Linked DNA regions of Canis lupus familiaris. The protein of the gene in region 4 interacts with the protein of the main gene of each other region in a pairwise test. Links are inferred from orthologs where the notes say so. Each region holds a gene or a part of one and is shown on either strand. Other genes may lie near its edges.

Evidence for each region.
Region 1: the proteins of LMO4 (region 4) and PDE4DIPP2 interact in binary tests that used the Homo sapiens proteins (3 or more experiments, as listed by UniProt). The two-hybrid records come from large-scale screens. The link is inferred for Canis lupus familiaris from reciprocal best matches to the Homo sapiens genes LMO4 and PDE4DIP.
Region 2: the proteins of LMO4 (region 4) and RBBP8 interact in binary tests that used the Homo sapiens proteins (3 or more experiments, as listed by UniProt). The link is inferred for Canis lupus familiaris from reciprocal best matches to the Homo sapiens genes LMO4 and RBBP8.
Region 3: the proteins of LMO4 (region 4) and GRHL2 interact in binary tests that used the Homo sapiens proteins (3 or more experiments, as listed by UniProt). The two-hybrid records come from large-scale screens. The link is inferred for Canis lupus familiaris from reciprocal best matches to the Homo sapiens genes LMO4 and GRHL2.
Region 5: the proteins of LMO4 (region 4) and KIAA1958 interact in binary tests that used the Homo sapiens proteins (3 or more experiments, as listed by UniProt). The two-hybrid records come from large-scale screens. The link is inferred for Canis lupus familiaris from reciprocal best matches to the Homo sapiens genes LMO4 and KIAA1958.
Region 6: the proteins of LMO4 (region 4) and NFYC interact in binary tests that used the Homo sapiens proteins (3 or more experiments, as listed by UniProt). The link is inferred for Canis lupus familiaris from reciprocal best matches to the Homo sapiens genes LMO4 and NFYC.

What each region holds. Positions count from the first base shown.
Region 1 is NC_049238.1:57,721,410-57,725,556, reverse strand, and holds the start of PDE4DIPP2 (myomegalin), read right to left. Parts: upstream 2,801-4,147; 5' UTR 2,786-2,800; coding exon 2,379-2,785; intron 1-2,378. UniProt on the Homo sapiens protein: Functions as an anchor sequestering components of the cAMP-dependent pathway to Golgi and/or centrosomes.
Region 2 is NC_049228.1:65,368,909-65,372,950, forward strand, and holds the start of RBBP8 (DNA endonuclease RBBP8), read right to left. Parts: upstream 2,801-4,042; 5' UTR 2,611-2,800; intron 1-2,610. UniProt on the Homo sapiens protein: Endonuclease that cooperates with the MRE11-RAD50-NBN (MRN) complex in DNA-end resection, the first step of double-strand break (DSB) repair through the homologous recombination (HR) pathway.
Region 3 is NC_049234.1:3,333,881-3,338,052, reverse strand, and holds the start of GRHL2 (grainyhead-like protein 2 homolog), read right to left. Parts: upstream 2,801-4,172; 5' UTR 2,387-2,800; coding exon 2,367-2,386; exon of another isoform or gene 2,310-2,366; intron 1-2,309. UniProt on the Homo sapiens protein: Transcription factor playing an important role in primary neurulation and in epithelial development. Binds directly to the consensus DNA sequence 5'-AACCGGTT-3' acting as an activator and repressor on distinct target genes.
Region 4 is NC_049227.1:61,435,912-61,439,837, reverse strand, and holds the start of LMO4 (LIM domain transcription factor LMO4), read left to right. Parts: upstream 1-1,126; 5' UTR 1,127-1,670; intron 1,671-3,746; exon of another isoform or gene 3,747-3,838; intron 3,839-3,926. UniProt on the Homo sapiens protein: Transcription cofactor. Plays a role in establishing motor neuron identity, in concert with MNX1, acting, at least in part, to disrupt LDB1-LHX3 complexes thereby negatively modulating interneuron genes in motor neurons.
Region 5 is NC_049232.1:67,371,934-67,375,880, reverse strand, and holds the start of KIAA1958 (uncharacterized protein KIAA1958 homolog), read right to left. Parts: upstream 2,801-3,947; 5' UTR 2,742-2,800; intron 1-2,741.
Region 6 is NC_049236.1:2,343,200-2,346,699, reverse strand, and holds part of NFYC (nuclear transcription factor Y subunit gamma), read left to right. Parts: intron 1-409; coding exon 410-568; intron 569-3,500. UniProt on the Homo sapiens protein: Component of the sequence-specific heterotrimeric transcription factor (NF-Y) which specifically recognizes a 5'-CCAAT-3' box motif found in the promoters of its target genes.

The DNA.
Region 1 (4,147 bases), on a different chromosome or scaffold from region 4:
TAGATAAGACAGGTATGTTTTTGAAAGTAAAGGGGTGCCCCTCTGGCTCGTGGGTGAACATGAAACTCTTGATCTCAAGCCCCACTTTCAGTTGGTGTGGAGCCTATTTAAAAATAAATAAATAAATAAACAAACAAATAAATAAATAAATGCTACACATTCCTAGAGAACTGATTTTTTTTTTAAATAGAGAATGCATGTGTGCATGAGCGTGCAAGCAGGGAGGGGCAGACGTAGAAAGAGAGAATCCCAAGCAGGTTCGACACTCATTGCAGAGCCAACATATGGCTCAAACTCACAACCCTGGGATGATGACCTGAGCTGAAATCATAAGTTGGAGGCTTAACCAACTGAGCCACTCAGGCACTCAAGAACTGATTTTTAAATGAGGGCCAGAGTAGCAGCAACCTCAGTGAAGTTCCTGACACTGCTTCATTTGGGAATTCCTGAAATGTTTAAAAACGTTTCAAGGCTCATCATTATATCAACTAAGATGTAGAGATTTGCCAGATGAATAACCATTAGGGAAATAATGAAAGTGTGCTATCTATTTTAACAATTAAAACACAACTAGAGAACCCTATAAACTTTTTGTTACCAAAGACAGTATGAAAAGTCACATTTTTATAAAAGGAGTCTTGATCTATTTTAAATTTTGCAATAGCAATGCTCCTTTTTATGAAAATAATTCACTCCAGTATGTATAAAACAGTTAAGAAGACTTTAAATTATAAATACATATTCACATGATTTTTTTTAAATTTCAAGCTTTAAAAAAATCCAAAGTAGTCTGTGAAAAATATTCAACACCACAGAGATACATTTAAGAAAAAGTAATTGTTTAGACTAAAATTCCACATTCTAAAAAAATCAAATAATGAGTGCTTCTTGCCTCCTTCCTTCTTTTTTAAAGTTATACTTTAAGGATTTTATTTATTTGAGAGAGAGAGAGAGAGAATGAGTATGGGGGAATGGAAGAGGGAGAGGGAGAGGGAGAAGAAGATTCAGCCCTATGTGGGGCTCCATCCCAGGACCACAGGATCATGACCTGACCCTCCTAGGTGCTCCCTCTTTTTTAAGTTTTTATTTTAATTCCAGTTAATGAATAGTGTTATATTAGTTTTAGGTGCTGCCTCATTCCTTCTTAAAAGCAGTCATCTTTTTATGAGTTTCTTAATAGAAATGATTCCTTTCTAGAAATAGAAATAGATTCCTTTAAGCACTGTTAACTAAATGTCTTTGACTCCTTTTTCTCACAGTGGACAGTATGATGAATAAATACAATTAAGTGTGAATAAACTAGTTTCTCAGTTCACAAATAAAGCCTAGTCCTGAACACAGAAAGCAGTTTCCATTAATATCTAGTTCTGTAGTTAATCCTCAAAAGATCGAAACTGTGATTTTTTAAGCATAGGAAACGAGGCCTAGGGAAATCAAGCTCCTTTTTTTCACATCCTAGTTAGTTAACGGTAGCTTAGAGACTGAAGACACTCTTGCCTTGTAGTCTGATTTATGAGTACTGGGTTCCCATAAAAGAATAAGCTAAAAATGCCAAGACAAAGAAACGCTTATTTCAAAAATGGCCAATAGCACAATCTGTCTCTCCTCCCAAAACTCATATGCATGGCAGATTTTTGTGCTGCTAATGCTACATGAAGAAAATGTAGGCCTAATCTGTCCAGTCTTCCATCTCAGTGCAAAGGAAGGGGCTGAATTTAAGTGGAGCTTGTTCTGTACGGCCTCATCCGGCCAACAGGCAGAGCTCCAGCTCCCTCGGGCTCCGCAGGGGAAGAGAGCCCAGAAAGAAAGAACCATCACCAAACCCCACCCTGCTATATCTTAGGTAAATAAAAACCACGTAAATTAAAAAAACAAAAACAAAAAAAAGAGGGTGTAAGAGCAAGCAATGGGTGCTCCTTCAACGGTACACCCGTGCACATTTCCTGATCCTCTATCTCCTTTTGCTCGGTGTCCCTAATGCTTCCACCCTGGCATGGCTTCTGCATCCTGTGTTGATCTCTCCTTTGACTCGACCCAGTAGGTATGGCCTTCAACTTCATGGGCACCGACAGAGCGGGTGTCAAGACCTGGGAGAGAGACGCGTTTCCCAAGCCTTAGTCCAGCACAATCCAGCAGCACATCTTTATTTCTAGGCAACTTCCCCACCGCTCTTCCCCCCTCTCCCCCGCCACCAGCGCATCGGCCCCCCAAGACCTCCTCCTGGGTGTCCTCCGACCCCGTCCAAGCTGCTGTGAGTCGGCGCCCATCCCTCCCGGGCGCGGGATAGCCGGGCCCTGGGTCCCAGCCCCGCGCCCCGCGCCCCGCGCCCCGCGCCCCGCGCCCGCGCCGCCACCCCCCGGCTCCCGCAGCGCTCTCACCTCATCCAGGGTGCGGCGGCCGCCGCTGCCTCTTCCTCCTCGGCCGCCGCCGCCCAGCTGCCGGCCGCCTCGGGATGCCGTCGCTCCCGGCCCGGAGACTGCAGAGAGGGCTGCGGGGCTCGCGCCGCGTCCCCGGACCGGTAAGGCGCGAGGTGCGCGGGGCAGCGGCGGCGACAGCAGGACCCACCGTCCGCCCTCTTCATGGATTTCCCGGGCCCGACCGCGGTCCTCCTGGCCTCGGTCTTCCTACGGTCCTCCCGCGCCGCCCGGGAGCATCCTCCAGACGTGATGGTGGCGGAAACCTGCAAGGGCCAGGCCTCTTCCGCGGCTGCCTCTGCCACCTGCTCCGCCCAGACTGCTTCGGGGCCTCGCGCACAAACACCGCCGCAGCCTCCTCGCCCTCTCATCAACCCATTCTCTCTCCACCCACTACCTCAATCTGCAAACCTTTTCATCCCCGATAGCACTCCTTTTTGTCTTCCAATCTCCTCCAAGGTCACTGTCCTCAATTTCCCACCTTAAATGTTTCTCTTTTTCTCACGCCCTCTCCCTGTGATTTCCTGGGTTTTGCCTTCCTCCTCCCTCCAACTCAGTCATCTTTCTTTGCTCAGAGTCACTATTTTTCCAGGCCCCTGGCTAACCCCATTTCTCCTGCTTTCCCTCTTTTTCCCTCTTAAAATCTTTTTTTCCCTCTCAATTTTCCCTTTTGTTGTTGTAAAAACAAACAAACAAAACCTTTCCCCCAGAAAAAACACAGTTTTTCTTTCTTTCCCTTGAGACTCTGATTTCCATTTTTCATAAAGAACTCAAAGTATAGATCACTTGATCTCCAATATCAAGTCAAGGGGATGTATTCATGGTTTTAAAAAAGTTCGTAGGTCAAATAAATCCTCCACTTAATGTTCTTTCTGAAAAGCCCTTTCTTATATCCCAGTGTCCTCTAACAACAGAAGCTATTCAGAATCTAGCAGAGCGAAATGCTTCTGCTGCACTATATACTCACGGCTTGCAACAGAGGTTCATCTTGGTAGTAGGCACCATGGATCTCAAAGTTTACAGGCAAAAGTCAATATGGACTGTTGATGGATTCAGTGTAAACAAAGAAACTCATTCTTAACACATTTTCCTCCCAAACCTGCTGTTCAGTCCTCCCCCCCCCCCCTTTTTTTAACCCAATACTATCATTCACCTGGGCACGGTCAGAGACTTATCTCTCTCACTCATTCGCCTCATCCAGTCTTTAATTCTACTTCTTTACTATTTCTTTGAGTGTTCCCTCCAATCAGGATTCCAAATGTTTCCAGAAAATGGCACTATCAGGTATCTCACCATTCGTTCTTTCAAACCTCCCAGCTTAATCTGTCTTTACCTCTGTTTTCCCTTCAACCTATCTTACCTGGGCAATTTACCCTACCATTCCCATCTCTGCTAGAGACTCTTAATTATCTTCTGTTGTCTTTATATCTTTGGCATCACTTTCTCCATTAAGTCCACCCCTCTGCTATAAACATCCCCAAGTCTCCTCATGCCTAAAATAGAGTCCTCCCACCTCAACCTCTAACCACCATCATCTCTGGCTTCCCTTCATAACCAACTTGCTTAAATACACTGTATTCATTTGATAGCTATACTTCCTGATTCCCATTCATTCTTTACCACATCATTCTTTGCAACCCGGCTTCTTATTACTTAGACAAAGCTGTTCTCCTAGCCAACTGACTTTGGCTTTGCCCACAGAAAGGCAGTAGGTTCGATATAATATACAAAAT
Region 2 (4,042 bases), on a different chromosome or scaffold from region 4:
AAATGGGTTTTGAACTTTGCAATTCTGGTCTTTATAACCTTACTGAAATTTTCCTGCCAGTTCCAACCAAATTTTAGAAGTACTAACTTCTTTGGCAAATCCTAAACTATATTGATATAAGGGTAATATATATATATATATATATATGAAAATAAACATTTTTTTGTTTATGAGTTAGTAGAGACTTATAATTTTATCTTTTACAGTTCTTTAGAAAATATAGAGTAGATTTCATGTAATATTCAGAAGACTCAATGTAGGATAGTGAAAAATATTAGTTTGGGCTAGTATTCAGGAAACTGAAATGTTTTGCTCCCAGGTCTACTTTTAGCTTGAATAGTAGTGATTTAACCACATTTGGGGGCTTTTTATTTAAGTGAAGAATGGAGAGTTGGATGCTTTATTTATTTATTTATTTATTTATTTATTTATGCATTATTTATTTATTTTCAAGTAGGCTCTTGGCCCAGCCTGGAGCCCATTGCAGGGTTTGAACTCATGACCCCGGGATCAAGTCCTGAGCTGAGATCAAGAGTCAGAGACACTTAACCGAGTAAGTCACCCAGGTGCCCCTGCACTAGTTATTCTTTAAGAGTTCTTCAAGTTAAAAAATTTCGGGATTCTAAGTGCTTTTTGTTGGAAACATATGAAGAATTTAGGAAGGAAACAGGTTGCAGTTGTTAAGAAAGCTAGAATTGTTGACAAAAAGAATCATTGTGTGAAACTGAGAGGCTAGAAATAAGGATAAAGGAATACATCCCTGACTTAATTTAAAGAATAAAGAGATTTTTAGATGGGTAGAATCCTTTTTGACCTGGGTCCTGAGATAATGTAGGGCTATGTGAAATACACACATGTACACTTACAGCTCCATAATTTGATTTATAAATCCATATGTCCTTAATTTTAGCAAAACATCACAATGCATTAGTATTTTAAAGGGATCGATTTACAGGAAATACATAAAGGTCATATTTATGGACTTTCATATATTTGAAACTGCAAAGTGTATTATATGAGAGCTGTAGAATCCTTTTCCAAAGTATAGTTAGGCTTGAAATTTTATCCAAAGTTTTCATGTATATATGAAATATGTATCTAGTTTCTAAATAGCTTTCTTTAAAACCATAAACAAAAAATGTCCACTAAATAAACTGCAGTTCCCACTTAAGTTTATCTTTAAACAGAAAGCCTTGTATTTTAAACAGTATAGTTTAAAATTTTTTAATTAATATGTATAATATATTTACCAGAAACACTAAAAGTATACTCTAATGACATATATCTATATCTTGCCTGAAAACTAATTGAAAAGAGAAACTTTCAGCCAACGAAAAATTTTGATCCATAGTCTCCCCTAAAATTGTCAGAATACAAATGTATGCTGAATAAAATTGATTTCGGTTTGTTGAATCAGCATATTCCTTATGCAGATTCAATATACATAGCTTTTTAGAAGTTCAGCTGAATTTTCAGAAGTTTTGTGCAGAATTGCCTGCAATTCTGTGCAAACCTTCCTGCAAACAAAATGATATCTGAACATTATTTCTCACTTAAAAAAATTCTTTATTAACTTCCTAAAGAAACTTTTAGAGCCTTTGAGTTTGAACATCATGACAAAGTGGGGACCTGGGGACAATAAAAAAGATGCATCACTCTTGCTCAGTTTAAGACAAAGTCATATTAAGATGATCTATAGACAGCTCTTGACAGAAAAGTATTCAGTATAATTCTGTTTTAAAAAGCTGTTTTAATTCCCAGATAAATTCACTTGTCAGCTGCTATATTAATTCAATGTCCAGAAGATATGTACATTCAATTCAATCCGATATTAATAACTAAGGGAGTAGTTTGGTAACCAAAATAAATGTAAAGGGATTGATTGGTAACTTTGATTTTAAAAGACACAAACTACTTAAAATAAAAATTGCATCAGTAAAAAAGAGAGGTAAAAATTATTTAAAAATATAAAGGAAGATCCAAATATTCTTTAACTTAAAAAGTTTTTCAGACCTAATAGGCATGACAAAACCTGTCTTCATTCCTTTCTATTCAGCTCAGCAAGTACTTTTGAGCTCCAATAGTTAATCAGTTACCAGATTCCACAATCTTTGTTTTTCACACTTCTCAATTCTTACTGTGAATTGTTCCTGTAATGTACTTAGGATCACCAAGCAGGCCAACACTATTTTTTATGCCTTAAAAAGGCAATTATTATCATATTCACAATTAGATTGACCATATAAAATTGTTACCATATAGCAATGTCCTATAAAACATGATAGTATATTATCAAAGAAGTAGATGGCTTAACATGAATCATTAAGAGGAAATCTATTTAGTAAAAGTATTCAACCCAGCTTTCTTCATAACTAAAGCCATGCCCAACTTACAAAAAATAGTGTATTATATACCAAGTAATCTTTATCTAAACAAATCAATGAACTTATATTTAAGTATTATAAAACAATATTTAGCCAACTTGACATAAAAGGTATAATCCAGGCATTATCATGTTAAACATAGATACCTGTTTAAACATCATTTCTTAATTTAGCTTTTCAAAAGTGCATAGAAAATTGAGGAATATAAAAAAATATGTTAACTTACCCTTCAATTTATTTAGGAAACCTCTGCTCTGGGTCAAAAGCACAAGGTGTTTCACTTCTGACTTCTGAAGCTACAAACTTAAACAGTAAATCAGAGGAAGCCGCTTCTCTGGACCACACTAGAGTTTGCTAGACACTACTGCTATGTGAAAGAGTCCTGCTGCATCTAAGCTATATACAGTGTGCAATGGATAACCTAATATGCCTTTCATTTAACTGGCTGGGCAGGTTTCTACCGTCTGTGGAACATGGAATCAAACCAGAATATGTTGGCATAACAGGCCAGTCAAACCGGTTCTTCTGTAGATCCAGAACCTGTCCAACCAGTCTGCATCAAAGGCTAGCCCAACAAGCTGCAGCGGCTCAACTCTGCTAAGCTTGTATGGGTGAGTTATCCCCACCTCCCATCAACTCCCAACAAACTACTCAGAATGTTGTAGCCTCCAGCAAAATAATTCAGAGTTCTAGTGGGAGGGATAGATCTATGCAGGCATAGCAAGAGTCCATTGTTATAAACCTCTTATTGTAGATACTGGAGTATCTATCATCTTCAGAGGTAGGTAATCCTTTTAAAAATATACTTCAGGGCTTTCTGCAGATTAAAGCCTCTAGAAAGAGATTATCTACAATGAAGAAGAATCCATAATGCCTGACCTTTTCCACTAGTCCACTTGGCTCTGCTTGGTCTAGTTTAGCCTTGAGAGGGAAGTTCATATTCCCTACAAGGGTAGTGGCCCTGAGACCTAGATGGAGGCATTTCTAAAGGGAGGAAAACAAGGTATAAGTTGACCAGATGTTTGCCTGAATATGTTATCTTCCTTGTACTCAAATGATCCTCATATCATTCCAGTCTAAAGCTGGGAAAACCTCCTATTTCTATATACTAGGACAACTTGAAGGATTTTTACTTTGAATATTCAACAGTTGAACACAAATTATTGATACCTACCATGTGCCAGGTACAGGGTTACAGTGGTGTAAAAGAGAAGTTTAGTAAGAGATTGGAACAAGGTCCCAGTTCCCAGTTAAGTATGTGTAGTAATCTTTTGGAAGGAAGAAATAACAGAAGATCATATTTTGACAGAAATTGGTTGTATTAAGAGAGATCATGTGAGATTTGTTCTTCTCATAATATTTGCACATTTATAAACAGCCTTTCCTACTTACTGATACAGTGATTCTCAAACTTTCCTATTTATCATCTGAAGTGCTGATTATGAACAGATTACTGAGCCTTACCTCTTGAAATTCTGATTCAATAGGTCTGAATGTTCTTTAGCACTCTGGTGAATCTGCTGCAGCTGTTGAAGGGACCATAGACCCAGATTCCATGCTCAATTTCTTTTCTATATTAAAAATTGCCATATTCACTTTTCTATCTCCAGTGTCTAGAACACTGCCACTTAGAAAGTATTTAGTAAATGCTTATTAAG
Region 3 (4,172 bases), on a different chromosome or scaffold from region 4:
CTTGCTCTGGCAGGAAGGAAGCCAGAATAGGTTTCTCTCTTCAGCTCTTTTTTTTAGAGCCCACACTCCCACCCCACCTAACACACACAGTTGCATAAGCTTCAGGCCCGTGAAACCCAGACCCACCCCTCCGGTCCTCCACACTAAGGAAACAAAGCTAGAATTCCTAAAACCCCAAGTTATCATTTATTAATTTTAAGCGTTTCTCAATAGTCCAGGCAGAGGGAGAGAGGCAAGTGGGGTCCAACAGTCTTTTGTGGGTATTGTTCTTAATGGCATTACTTTTACCGGGATACAAAATTAAGTCTTGGAAAGTATGACTAGATAAAAGCTGCTTTCATTACATAGAAGTATATGTAATCCCGAATAGTTATTACCAATAAAAATTAAGTAATGCATCGTGGTGAAACCAGATTGCCAAAGCAGAACTTATTTTCAATACTAAACAGTCTGTTGGTGCCAGGAGTGACAGCAGGTTAAACTAAAAATCGGTCCGCTCTCGCTCCGAATCCAGCGGGGTCGCGGTGCATCACAAAACTCAGAGGGCCACCAGTGCTAATCGTGGGGTTCGATTAAAGAATCGCAACAAGTCGTATCCGATAAGCACTAGGTTTGCAACCATTTTCGACACGAAGAGGAAAACAATCCCAAAATTCCTGCTGTCATCTCCGGGCTTTGGCTACCGAAATTTTCAAGCTCGGGGAACGATTTCCTACAGGCTCCAGGAGCGAGCGAGCGGCGGGAGCGGCGGGCTCCGCACCGTCCCACACCTTCCGGTCCCGGCGCCAGGCGTGGAGCGAGCGGCTCTGGGCTGATGGGTGGCACCGTCCTATCATCTGGTGGCTGGTTCTGGGGGGCTGTGGTCGCTGTGGTGCGGGTGGGACAGCCCGGGGCGTCGGGCACTTCTCTACCCGCGGCGTTACTCGGAAGATGGCCCGCCCCGCCCCGCCCCGCCCCGCCCCCGCCCCCGGCAGGCCCCTAAGGCACTCCCGCGGCCCGCTCGCGGCCCGTCCATCTGGGACTGGTCCCGGGCCAGTTCGGGGGGCACCGGCGGCCTGGTGGCGCCCGGCCCCGGCCCCGGCCCCGGCCCCGGCGAGGGCGCCTCGGGAAGGTCTCCTTGGGGCGCCCAAACACCGGGGCGGCGTCGCCGCGGGAAGCAGAAAGGCGGCCGCACGCCCTTCCCCGGGGCCTCGGCCAGGTCCCAGCCCGGCGCGCCCGAGCGGGAAGGGAGAGCCGCCGCCTAGTCCCCAGGAGGCCGCGGGCCCACCTCAGCTCCCTCCCGCCCCGCCCCCGCCGTCGGCCCCACCTCCCCGCTAGCACAAAGCCGTCCCGAGGCGGGGGCGGGGGCGGGGGCCGGGGCCGGGGCCGCGCGAGGCCGCCGAGACGCGACCGGACGGCGGACGGCGACCCCGAGGCTGGGGCCGCGCAGGCCGCCGATCCCCGGGCCCGCCCGGAGGTCCCGTCCCGTCCCGTCCCGTCCCGGACGGAAAGGCCGCGCTTGCCCGCGCCGCCCTCGGGGCGCCCGGCGCGACCCACGCCGCCTCGCCAGCCAGGCCCGGGGTGGCGGCCGGGTCGGGGAGCGCCGAGGGCCGCGGGCTCGCTCGCGGGGCCGTGCACGCGCCGCCCGACGGGGAGAGCCGAGCGGCTGCGGGCCCTCTGGCGCCCCCGCGGACGTGCCCGCTCGAGGCCCCAAGTCGATTCCCCTCACTTCCCGGGGCCCCGCGCTGGCGCACCTGCGGGGGCGACACGCGGGGCGGGGCGGGGCGGGGCGGGGGGACCCCGGGGCCGCGGCACCCCCGGCGCCCGCGCCTCGGCACAGGGGCGCACGGGCGGGCGCGCACACACGCTGCCCGGCCGGGCCCGGGAACATGGCCGTTTGGGCTCCGGTGTAAGGGCCCTTTGTTGCGCTCACACAAAAGCGGCCGGACCCGCTCGGCTCGCAGGCCCTTCGCGCAAATCGAGGGAGCTCGGCTGAATTTCCAAGTGGCCTTAGAGGCCTGAAGCGGCGGGAGCGACCAGGGGGAGAACGCAGGCCTCCCGCCTCGTCGGCCCGAGCTGTGCCAGGGGCCAGTGCTCGCCCCGGGAGGCGGCAGCGGAGGTCGCCCGCGGGGACCGTCTAGGCCCAAAGGGGGTATTAGACGTTCGCATTCTTGTAGGGTTCCTCCGCTTAACCAAGGTAGAAACGTAATCTGGAAAAGTCTGGATACAACAAAAAGAAAAAGAAAAAAGAACGAAAAAAAATACCAACAATAGCAACTAAAAAAAAAAAAAAAAAAAAAGCACACACCAAAAACAAAAACATAACAAACCAGTTGCCATCAGCCCAAAGCGGTAGCAGCAGCAGCCGGCGCGTGTGATCCACTTACTTGTCCGACTCTTGTGACATGTTTGATCCAATGAACTCGCTCCCCTTTTCCTGGAGCCTCAGCCTCTGGTGAAACTGGACTTTCAAGTCTGTGCAGGTGACGGTGTGTGAGCGCGCCCGAGATGGCAGAACAAGAGCTACAGGTAATTCTGCTTTTCCGTCCCCCCGCACCGCTCTCGCTCGCTCGCGCGCCCGCGCCCTCACCTAGCCGGAAAGGTGGGACAAGGGGGGCCTCACATGGGGCCCGGGCTCGGAGGCGGCCGCGCGGCGCGGAGTCCTCCCGGATCGTGGCAATGGGCGGCCACAGAGCAGAAAGTGGCGGACTTGGGCGGCCACAGGTAACTTTCTCGCAGGGAGCTGAATTCTTTCACTAAAGGATACAAGCCCGAGGGACGAGCTGCGCGGTGATTGGCTGCGAGGCTCCCTCAGGTGAGCTGCCATTGGCAGAGGCGCGCTCAGGTAAGGCCCTTCTCCAAGTGCAGGTAACTCACTCCGTAGTTTACCTGCGTGGAGCGGCGGCACGCCTGCAGCTCTGCGGCCGCCCGTGGGAGCGGAGGGTCGCTGCTCTGAGCAGACCTACGCCACGCTCCCTTCCTCGCGGAGAACGGCCCGGGGGGCGGGAGGAGAAAAGCAACACCTGCAACCACTAGGGATTGTGGGTCAAACGGAAGGCCTAAGGAGAGCTGAACTCAGGTACCCCAAGCCGCCCGGAATCAAACGCGCAGCCTGACCGCAAGGCTTTGAATACCCACTTTTTGACGTTGTCAGAAGAGTGAGGGCCTCAAGTTTACCTTGTGCTCCGAAGGGTAGAAACACAAAGATTGCCGAGTCGGTTGTGTAATTGCATTTTTAACATTCTTATCCAGAACAAACACTTTTCGTGTCCCGATGTGTAAAAGATACCAGGTAGATTACAGATTTTCACATGGATGAGCATCCTTTCATGGGCTAGGCCGATGAAGAGTGGGGTGGTTCTGATGGGGTGAGAAGATTTGGGGTGAATAGACGCTAAGATGGCCCAGGCCTGTGTCTTCTATCTCAACTCTAGCCTGGGATTCCAGAGCTGCAAACAACCACCGAATCCCTTCTATAAACCTGTTGTCATTTGACGTTTCCAGGCAGGCATCAACATTTACATTGTAATTCAATAGAAGCAGCGACTACAAAGGTGCTTTATCCTTCCAGCTTAATATGGTTGCTATGGAAACAATTCAGGATGAAACTGACTTTTTTGCGGTTCTGTTTCCCCTGGTTGGGAACAACGCAGATTACCAAAGGTTTAATTTATAACCACTTGTTCCTAAAGAACATTGGTGAAAGTTCTGACAGGAATGTAGTCCATACCTATGAATCGTTGAACTAAGGAAAGCATGGAGAGTATATCATATTTTATTTCAAGTTAATACTACATTGCCAGAAATGATACCCAACTTCTATTTTAATCTTTATGGACCAGATATTTCCTGAAAATTATGCCCTGAGACAGGTTGTTTGTTTGTTCCATGTTTCATGCTCAGCAAATGAATTAAAACTTTTATTCTCACACAGTATAAGCACACACACTTTTTAAATATAACATATTTAAATACAATACAATACCCACTGTTTCTCTACCTTCTTAATCTCCTTTCTAAAAGCATCCACATTCCACTTTTAGCCATCTCTTCTGTCATTGACCTCTTTCTTTTTTCTTTCTTTCTTTCTTTCTTTCTTTCTTTCTTTCTTTCTTTCTTTCTTTCTTTCTTTCTTTCTTTCTTTCTTTCTTTCTTCTTTCTTTCTTTTTATAAAGATTTTAAGTAATCTCTAC
Region 4 (3,926 bases):
ACGTGACCTTTCTTCCTCCCCAGAGGCTGTGGGATGGTGAATGTTGCCATTCCTTGTTGCTGTCTGGGGGGGGAGGGGGGGGGGGACGGGGGGCTTGAGGAATCGGGCCTCTCCTCCTGCACAGCAGGGGTGGATGGAGGCCGAGCCCTCCTCCCTGAAGTTCCCCTGGACCCCCAAAGTCCGGGCTGTGAGCTCTTCAGCTCCGACTTCGGACGATCCCCTACGAGACGCCCACGGGGCTCTCGGCCGGCGCTCGGGCCCACGCGGGGGACCGGGGCCGGGCGGCCAAGTCCTGCAAGACCTGCGGACTCGGTCCCCACCTCCTCGCTCGCTCAACTTCCCACTAAGGGCTCATCCGTCTCCAACGCCCGCGAATTAAAGGCAGAAAAACAAAACCTCTTCTGCGTGCGAGCGAAGCCCCCCGCCCGGAGGTTTCGGGGAGACTCTTCCTCCCCAACAGGAGGGGACCCATTTTTGAGCAAGACGAGAAGTTTCCTGCGGGGCTCGCGCGGGCGCGCGGGGGGGGGGTCCCCGAGGGGCGCGCGGGTGCGGGTCCCCGCGATCGCCGGCGCGGGCAGGAGCGGCGCCCCCGGCCGCTCCATCCTGCCCCCCGCGGGAGGGGGTTGGGGTCCCGCCGGGGGTCCCGCGAGGGTCCCCGGGGCTCGGCCGCCCACCTGCCCCCGGCCGGGCCGTCTCCGCCCGCCGCCTCCCCCGCTCCCCCGCCCGCGGAGTCTCGTTCCAGTCCTCCCTTTGTCCTGCCCCGGATTGGCAGGTTTTATTATTCCGCCTGAACAACCCGGCCGCCCAGTGGCTGAGGGTCGCTGACGTCGGCGGCAGAGCCGGGGAGTAGTTGGGATTCGGCTCTGTCAGTAACACATGTGTAAGCGCCGCGCAGGGAGCGAGCGAGCCGGCTAGAGGCCAGCGCCGCCGCCGCCGCCGCCTCCTCCGAGCCGGGCGGCCGCCGCAGCAGCAGCAGCCCGGGCAGCGGCGCAGGCTCCAGCGCGCCGGGCCCGGCCGGCCGCAGCTCCCCGGCTCCCGGCCTCCGCGCCGGCCGCCGCCGCTCCGGGGCTCTGGTGCCCGCGGCCGCTCCCCGGCTGGAGGGGCAGGAAGCGCGGCCGAGCGCCCGCCGCCGGCCCCGAGCGAGCGAGCGGGCGAGCGAGCGGGCGGGCGGGCGCGCGGGAGGGAGGAAGGCGGAGGAGGAGGAGGAGGAGGAGGAGCGGGAGGCGCGCGGGCGGGGGCGGGGGCATATACAAAGTGAAGCCACATTGCCAAACTTGCAGCAGCGATTGCAGCAGTTGCTGCCGCTGCGCCGCGCCTGAAGCCGCGCCGCGCGGGCCGCGGGCTCCTGCAGCTGCTCGCGCGGAGCCGGAGCCGGAGGCGGAGGCGGAGGACGACGCGGAGGACTCAGCCTGACACTCCAGCTCCCGGCCGCCTGCCGCTTACGGCGGGGCCCCCCGACCCAGCCTCAGGGCGACGCGTTTAAAAAAAAAAAAAAAAAAAAAAAAAAAAAGCAGCCCTTAGCCCCCTCCTCCCCTTTCCTGCTTCTGCGAGAACATCCCCCCTCCCTCCAGCTCCGCCAGCCAAGGCGCCCCTTCCTTGGAAGCCGAGCGGCTTCGCTCGCTTTTCGCCGCCGCCGCCTCTCGCAGTATTGCAATATAGGGGAAAAGCAGGTAAGGGGACGGCTGGGGAGCCGCGGGCGAGGGGGGGCAGAGGGAGGAGGGGGCCGATGTGGGCCAGGGCTGTTTTCTTTGGCTTCCTTCCCTTGACCGTCCCAAATTGCAAGTAAACAATACGTCGGCTTGGATAATGCGCGAGTCTGAAACTACCGAGGCCGGCCTGCGAGCTAGCACGGAGGGCAGCCGGCCCCGGGCCGCCAGCTTTGTAGCGGTTCCTGCTTACAAAAGGGTTCTTCTTGGAGACGGGGCTGCTGGGGACCTGGGAGGGTGGGGAGGGGTGTGTGTGCGTGTGTGCGTGTGTGTGTGTGTGTGTGTGTGTGTGTGTGTGGTAGTGGGGGGGTATTTTCAGTTCCTAAGGGAAAGGCCGGAGGTGCTTAAATGAGGGTTTAAGTATGAGAAGTAGTGTGGGGGAAATAGTCACGACCCCCCCCCCCAGCCCCCCAGTAAACACTATTTTTGAAACAGTGGCAGAAAGGATCTAAGTGAGCAGGATTCAGTATTGCTGGTTCTTTTCAAAAATTCCTCTTGGCTTATAAGTCTTTTGTTCCAATCCAGGAGAAATCCGGTGAATCACCTAATTAAAATCAAGACATGAATTAAGCATCCATTTTTGTACTACAAATTGCCAGCGCTACGTTTGTCCCTCCCCTGGTCTCCATTAAAAAACACCAGAGACGTTGTTAAAGGGGGGCAGATTTTGCCTCTAGCTGCCAGTTCTGCTTTCTATTTCACTGACTATCCCAGGACCTAAATTGCTTGGCTATGTAATTACTAGAGTATAAGCCTATTTAACTTAAAAGCTTTCTTTTTTTTTTTTTTTTTTTTTTCCAACTCTAAATGAAACTTGATGAGGGCCCGTCCTTAGTTATCAGGGGAGTCAGTTTCTGGTCAGTCCTCTTGATTCATCTCTTTTAGATTTAATCAGCATTAAGGTATTGCTTGTCCTTAAGAGCTTTAGCTAATGGGGTTACTGGATGCTTTTCTCAGTGTAATGTTTCCTTTTCGAAAAAAATATACATATATATTTACCTCTCACCAAAGATGGGGGCGGGGAAGAGCTTGGAATCTCCTCCCTCCCTCTCCCCTTTTAAAAAGGAATTCGGAGCGATTAAAACGTTGGGGGAAACAGTTTAAAGACCTCGGGCAGGAAATGCAGATTCATTTGGGTTAGGGCTGAAATTGTAACAAAAAGCAATTCCTCGAGTAAATGCATCAGATAAATCAATTTACATAAAGGTATGATGCATTCGGATAAATGCAATGCTAATGGGTTTTAGAGTGGTCCTGTTTCCAAAGTCTCAGGGTTTTGTTACAGCTTAATTGGTGCAGTTCTTATTCTGGTTTATTGTGCGGTCACTGGACACACGTTCCGGGACTCTTTCGGAGGAAATGTGTTTAAAATCGGCCTATTTAAGGAACCCGAGTCCTTGTTTCGTTCCCTTCCCCTGGTTGTTTTTTTTTTTTTTTTTTTTTTTTTTTTTTGCAGCAGCCAAGTTGGGCCGGGGACAGGCAAAGTTCGCCCTCTCCCTTCTGAGGTATCAGCTGAATGTCTTGAGCAGATAGCCGGGAGCCTCGGGGGGAGCCTCCACTCTCGGCTTACAGAGGACAAAGACAAAACAGGCTGCTTAATTGGCAGTAAATAACTTGATCTTTTTATAGAATAAGTGACTGGAGGAACACTAGGACTTTATTGGACTCAGGATTGGAGGCAACAAATTAATCGGTTTAGGCTAAGCTTTATAAATTGATTCCTATATTATACCCCAGTTGCTTCTCGTGACATTCATTAGAAAGAGTGGGGAATTTTTTTAAAAGCAGTTTTTGGTGACAGCAGGACTGGCTCGAATATAACTTGTGCATCCCTTAATAGTGCCTTCTCGCATATTATCTGTAACGTCGCCCCCCCCCCCCCCCCACACACACACACTCCCCCCCCTTTGGAGGAACAAAGCTTTAGCATTTAAATTGCTGATCAAGGGCAGATTAGTGAGACCAAAGTGGAGAGTGTTTGTATAGGAAGTTAACAGGCATCCTAAAGTTCAATGATCTATTATTCTTGCCTGTGTCCTGAAAACCCAGAGAAAACACTCATTGATCTTCAAAATGAAATGAGATTTGGAACAATAATGGGAGATGGCGGTCACCACAATGGCATGTGAAAGGTGCTGTTTAAAATACGAAAAACCAGTTTCGCAACTTTACACACCGCACCCCCTCCCTCGCGTCCCCTGCCTCCCCTCCCACCACCTC
Region 5 (3,947 bases), on a different chromosome or scaffold from region 4:
GTCTCAACCATGAAGAGTGAAAAATAATTTATACCCCTTCCTAACCACCAACATACAAGAAGAGAAATCAGCTGAAAATATGTAAGGTTCTCTGGACTGCTTCGGGCTACACAAAAAAATACTGTTTATTATACAAAAACAAAAAAATGAATACCCATATATCACAGCCAAAAACAAAAACAAACTAGGTGTTACCTCTTAGCCTGCCCATGGGAAGACACTACACTGCCAATCCCAGAAAACTGTTGGCATAACTACAAGTTGCCAAGCAATTCTCAACACAGACCACACTCTCTTAATATTTAATTTACACCGTGACTCTGTTAAACCTCATCCCTCTGACTGACAGATAAATACATAAACAATTCAAGTTATTAACTTATCTTTTTAAAAATTCCTAAGCACTGGGCAGCCCCGGTGGCCCAGCGGTTTAGCGCTGCCTTCAGCCCGGGGTGTGATCCTGGGGACTCGGCATCGAGTCCCACGTTGGGCTCCCGGCATGGAGCCTGCTTCTCCTTCTGCCTGTGTCTCTGCCTCTCTCGCTGTCTTTCATAAATAAATAAAATCTTTAAAAAAAAAATTCCTAAGAACTGATAAAGAGTGTGTGTAATCAAATAGCTGGAACTCCGGGAGTGTGTTCTGACTCCATCCCACCATTCCTAATAAAGCCTGAACAAATTTCAATACCTATGCTCTTTGGGCCGTCCTTACCAGAAAAGAAAGTGGAATCTTGCACAAGGGCCTACTAGTGCCTTGCACTGAACCCTATATGCCCTCTACATTCATTCAGCTAATCTAGAAAGGAAGTCAAAACAAGAATAAAATTTGATCAGTTCAAAGGGACTGGTAAGATTGTTAGATTAGATGTAGCATCTTCTAAGTTTTAAGTGTATAAAAATGTACAGCCCAGATACTTACAACGTTGGGCATGCAATAATAATAATAATCTGTTAATGTAACTAGGGCAAACATCTAGGCTAATTTTTTTCTTCTGGAAAAAAAATGACTTTTCGGCACACTGAAGCTGTCTCCGCTTCATCATGACAAAAATCATTTTGCCTAATCAAAACTGTATTAACATTGTACATTGCTTTCTGATGAATTTCTGTATCCTACTTGATGAAGATTTAAATAAATTCTTTTCCACCACAATGTTTTTCAGATGTTTAAGAAAGCTTCTGGTTTCTACATACAACTCCACATATACGACCTGAGTGCACCCAAAACTATTTTTTCAGTCTCCTTGATAACCATCAGATTTAAATTTGTCCATATGGATTCTCACACGGCAGGAAAGAGAAAAAAAAAAAAAAAGGTCTCCAGAAGTGAGCCCTAGACTGAGATTCATACAAAGATATAAATTCGTGCCTGCACTAAAAATGTGAATCTGTAAAATCAAGTTTCTGGGTGCTCATTCAACTTCATTTACAATTTGGATACCTACGAATACACATCAGCTCTTCACAAGAAGCTCAACCAGATGAATAATATAAGTCGGAAATATCACCTACGCTACTTTGCAAAAAAACTATTTCCACCATGTACGACCCAATCGTGGGGTTTTAGAGAGAGAGAGAGGGAATAGACACACAGAATAAAAGAAGGAAAGCACACTCACGGGGGGGGGGGGGGGAGAGAAAAAAAAAATTAGTTCTAACATTTATGTTCTCCTCCCTGTGCTGTGGAAGACCTCAGGCTCTAAACCAGCAAAAGATAAAGGTTTTAGCCTGCACGGGAGGCTGGATATTTACTGCATTTGCATTTAACCTCCACCGTGGAGGCTGTCAGCCAGCACCTGACTCGCTTGGTAACTGTTTACCTAACAGGTAGGAGACTGTCTTGCTAATCCTAAGGAGTCTGGGAAATAACAAAACTTTATCATCAAACTTTAAAATATGTGCATATACATATATATACATATATGCAAAAAGAAAACCAAAAGGTAAAAATCCCAGCCATGTTCATCTTCGATTTGCCTGTAAGTCCCTGCCTAACCTTAGAAGGAGGAGGAGGAGGAGGAGGAGGAGAGGCAGCACCTGAACACCGACTCGGCCCGCGAGCGTGGCTGGGGCCGGGGGCCGGGGGGCGGGGGGGCGGGGGGCCGGGGGCCAAGCTGCTCGCAGCCCGGTCGGGTCGCGGGGCCCGGGAACCCGCGCGCGTGGGCCGCGGCCTCGGCGGGGGGGTGCGGGGGGCGCGGGGGCCTCCCGGGGACGCCGCCTCCGTTGGAGACAATAAATAAGGGGCCGGAGCGCCGCTCGCCCCTGCACGGCCGCGCCTCCCGCCGGCGGAACAAGTCGGGCAGAGCCCCGAGCCGCCTCCCGCCTCCCGCCTCCCGCCTCCCGCCTCCCTCCCCGCCAGCGCCTCAACACTTGGAAACTACGAGGGCCGACGGCTCCTTCCCCTTCCCGCCCTCCTGCCCCCTCCGGACAGAGCCGGGGCGGGCGCGGGGGAGCCGGACCACGCAGCGCGGCGGCGGCGGCGGCGGCGGGGGATGCTGCGCGGCGGGGGCCCCGCTCGGAGCTCGGAGCCCGGGTCCCCCCCGCGCCCCGCGCCCCGCGCCCCCGCCGCTGCCCTCACGGGCTCCCGGCCTTCCCCCCCCCGCCAGGAGACAAAAGAGGGTTCAGCCGGGTCAGCGCTCGGCGCCGCGGACCCCAGCGCGGCCGCCCCCCACACAAAGGGGCTCCCGGCCCAGGGCGCAGCGTCGGCGCGCTCGTCCCCGCCCCGCGCGGGCTCTCACCCACCTGCAGGTGTCTGTGCGTCTGTCCATAGGAACGCGGGCGGCGGCGGGGGGGGCCGGGGGGCCCGGGCTGGACGGGGCGGGACCGAGGGGAGGGAGGGAAGGCGGCCGGAGGCCCGGGGCGCGCAGGCAGGGAGCGCGGGGAGGGCGCCGGGCGGGCGGCGGGCGGGGGCGGGGGCGGGGGCGCGGGCCGGGGGGGCGGGGGCCGGGGCGCCAGCCTGGCTCTGCGACCGGCGCGCGCCGCTCCGTGCGCCCCGGGCTCCGCGCGCCCGGCTCGGAGCTCGGAGCTCGGAGCGCGGCGGGCGGGGGGCGGGGCGCGGGCGGGGCGGGGCCGGCGGGCGGGCGGGGCGGGGGCTCGGACCCGGGCTCCAGCCGGCACCGGAAGCGCGCCGCGGGCCGCGAGACCCACAGGAAGTGTGTAACGACACCGCCGCGGAGCGCTCCGAGCTCGCGGCCGCCGCTGCCCGCGGACGTGCGCCCCGACCTTCCCGGCGGCGCCGGCGCGCACGGGCTCGCCCTCCGCGCCCAGGCAGGTGCGGCCGGCGCCGCGTGCGGGGGAGGGGGGGGGGGCGGGGGCGCCCCGGCCGGAGACCCCACGCCCCCCCCCCGCCCCGAGCCCCGGGGAGCGTCCCCCAGGCGCCAGGTGCAGCCCCGGCCGGTGACCCCGAGCACCGCCCCCCCGAGCCCCAGGGAGCGTCCCCCAGGCGCCAGGTGCAGCCCCGGCCGGTGACCCCACGCCCCCCCCCCAGCCCCGGGGAGCGTCCCCCAGGCGCCAGGTGCAGCCCCGGCCGGTGACCCCGAGCACCGCCCCCCTGAGCCCCGGGGAGCGTCCCCCAGGCGCCAGCTGCAGCCCCGGCCGGTGACCCCACGCCCCCCCCCCCCCCCGAGCCTCAGGGAGCGTCCCCCAGGCGCCAGCTGCAGCCCCGGCCGGACCTTGCGCCGCCCGCTGTAGCACCTGTCCTAAGGCACCGAGCGCCGGCACCTCTACATCCAGGTTCGGGAACACCTCCTGCTCGCGGGCAACCCAGTCACCGCTGCCCAGTGGAAGTTCCCAGTCCAACTACCGCACTCGCGTCCATCCCATGGCGGGGGGGGGGGGGGGGGGGGGGGGCATGACACCTAAAACACACGAGGACCACCGAGGCAGGCACTGATTCCCCGCCCCCCTACGCACCTCGGGACCACAGGGGCAAGGCTGGCGCCCCCCACC
Region 6 (3,500 bases), on a different chromosome or scaffold from region 4:
CCATTTAATTTGTTCTCCAAATTCACCTGCTCCTGACTTGACTTTGGCCATTTCTCAAGTGAACTGTAATGGTTACTTTGGATTATTTTGTAACATATGTGCCTTTTGGTGACTGAAGAGGCTTGAAAAGCTGCAGCATTTGAACCATAGAGATGTTTGGGGCCTGGGCAGTTATTCTGTACTGTGAGACTACAAATCTGTATGGCTTTCTCATCTTTTATTTTGGAGAATAAACTTCAGCAGTGCTGTAGGCCCAAAAGACTCTGAGTGTTGTTAATTTGTATTAAGATGAGTTTAGGCATCCATGGAAGAGGTTTGCTGCCGGTTAACTGCTCATCGTTAACCCCTTGGTAAGCCTAATGGCTCTGAGCTGGGGTTGAATCAGCTTTCTCATTACTCTTCTTTCTAGACCACGCCCGTGACCATGCAGGTTGGAGAAGGTCAGCAGGTCCAGATTGTTCAGGCTCAGCCACAGGGTCAAGCCCAGCAGGCCCAGAGCAGCACCGGACAGACTATGCAGGTGATGCAGCAGATCATCACGAACACAGGAGAGATCCAGCAGATCCCGGTAAGCCTGCTCTGCCTTGCATCTGCAAGGCACTGTGCTCCTGTTGTAACGAGAGTGCTTATAGATCTTAAACGCACACACAGAATATTGCATATACCCATGTGTATATATGTACGTACATTTCTCTAAACTTATATCTGTGTAAGTGCAGACCACAGCTTGCTTCACTGTATGCTCACTGCTCTCTTTTAATCCTGCTCAGGTTTACCACCGTGGGGCAGCTCCTCTCGATTTCCCTGCACTCCACCTATGCAAAGAATGCTCGTAACCACTGTTCATGCCAAGACCCAAAGGCCCTGTGAGGCAGCCCTCCCTGTCTTTTGATTAGCAGAGAATAAGAGGGAGGTGTACAGAGAAGGCCATAAATACACTTGTTGCATATTCATGAGTCAGTTCCCAGTGGAGCCTGCAGCAAAGTGTATTTTTGGCTTTCATTTAACTTATCCATCCCTTCACTGTGGACTGCTGCTTCCTGTGTGCCTTGAGGGATTTCATTTCTTGGATTTGTTGGCTTTTTTACTTATACTTGCTCTTTTGTAAAAAATGCCCCATCTTAACACTTGCCATCTATACATTGGTCATTTTGCCACCCAAAGGTGTGGAAAGTGAGTGACACGGAGCAGTACTTCTCTTTCCTGCCCCTTGCCCTTCCTCTTGTAAATGACACGTAGGCAGATAGAGAAACTCGCTTGGACTTGGTTAACTACTTCCTCTTTGAAAAAGCTCCATTTTTGAAACTGTTCTTATTAAGTTAACAGGGTAATAGACCAAGAGAAAACTTAGGGAAAGTGGAGTGTGTGTGTCTCTATCTTTCCGTCTCCCCTCCTGCCCTTCCTCCTTTTCTCTACTTTTTGGTGCACTCTCCCTCTGCTAGAGCTTGCACCCTCTCACTCCCACTTTTTTCCTCTCTCTCTCTCTCTCTCTCTCTCTCTCTTTCTGTCTCTTTCTCACATACATACCCCTCTTAGTTCCAGGTGCCTTCCCTCACTGTCTCAGCCACCAACCAAAGACCTCTCTTGAATGGTTCTCAGTTTTACATGTGAAGGCGCCAGAACTTAAGCCAGAGAAGAAGAGTTCCCTCTTTGCAGTAACTTTAACTCCACAGTCTTTTTAACCTTCCAGGACACAGAGCGTTAGCACAGATTTGCTGCAGAATTCACTATTCTCAGATAACTTCTGCAGAAGTCTGCACTTCTAAATTCCTCAGAGTGCTCGCTCCAATAGAGAGGACATTCAGGAAGGAAGCTTTGCTTCTTTTTTGAAAGTCCAAAGGGCAGGTGTATTTGTCCTGTAATTAACATCAAAACGCTGCCAGGGTCCCCAGACCGATCATTGTGGCAGAGCATCACCAGATGTGTAAACCTAAGCCTAAAAGAGCTTCTGCTTCTAGGAACTGCTTGGAACTGTCTGGCTCACAACTTTTCAGTCGCATCTGAGTTTCTGCAAAGAGCTCTTCCCAGCTAGGAAATGTAAAATCCCTGTGGTTGTCACTACACCTTCCCTGTTCTTGGGAATAGGCTTTAGTCTTTCATCCTGTGTTCCTTGGCTGGAGTTCTGGTGACTCTGGGACCAGCCATGATTGGTCCCAGCAGACGATCTTCCCCAGCTTCTAGCCAGCTGCCTTCATCCCCAAAAGCAGCTTAGTGTTGTTGCCCAGCAGCCACATTATGGGACTTCAGGCGGGGCCAATCTGTGCCTGGCATCACAACTTCCAGCAGCTCTTCTTGGCATAGTCTCTCAGAAAGAATTGCAGGTCATAATATCTTGCCCTGTCTCATGTGAACCAGATTAACGAGTTTAGGTTTTCTATTCCTCCAATTTGCTGTAAGTGGACAATTCTGAAATTTGGTCTACCAAGAACTTCTAAGAACTACACTTACTACCAAGTATTTGTCTTTTCTTGGTGGTTCAAATCCTCTTTGAAGCTGAAGTTGTAGAGAAGCAGTGTGATTTAACACTGCAGGCAGGAGTGCAGCTTCGTGTATCAGCATTTTCCTCATGGAAGTAAAATTCCCTGCAAGGGAATTCGGTCTTAAATTCCCTTTGCTCCAGGACAAAGAGACATGACTTGCCCGTTTGCCTCACGAAGTTCACTGCTGCAACAATGGCAGGCTGGGCAGCCAGGGAGAGTGGTTTCTGAGCCCCCGGATAGAGACCAGTCTGTCCTCCTGGCACCACTTTTCATCACCCAAATCCCGAGTGTGAATGTTGGCAGTGCTCTGCTGACTCTCCTCTGCTGAGCCACGGTTCCTCTCTTGCAGCCAGCCGCCTTGGTCTCTCCATTCCTGCCCGAGGCACTGAGACTTTCATGGTACACTGGAGCGTTAAGAGTCTGAGTTAAGGCTTTTAGTGAACAATTAAATGCAGCATGTGGTATTATTGTATTATCTGAGACTTAATCTTAAGCATGAGGGACTCTAAGGGCATTTTTGTAGCTTTGGTTTCCCATGATGGGGTTTTCTGTGAAATATTTATTGATTCAGCTTCCCCTTGGGAGGAGTTTGGCCAGAAGAAAGTGCTGAACACCAAGGATCCTAAAAGTCCCACAGACCCCTGTTGGTTCTGGCTCTTGGGGACCGAGATAGTGAAGCAGGCTAGCTTTTTCTTCCAAGATGTGCAGCATGGGTCGGGCAGGACTAGGGCTAGGGCGCAGAGTGCTGGCCATCTGCTTTGGGCTCCTGACAGATGCTGGAGTTCTCAGTATTAGATCAGCCATCCCAGGAATTGGCGTGGCGGAGTTTGGAGATAGAGTGGAGAATGGCCCACACTTACGGTACAAAGCATTCCGATCATGTCTGACAGTATGGGATAAAATCCTAAGATAAACTGAACAAACGGCTGAGAGCCAGTGAATGTTGAAGGTGTGGCCATGCTGTTCCTCACATATGTGACCAGATCCTCTGGGAATTTTCTCCAAAGTCCACTTAGGGAA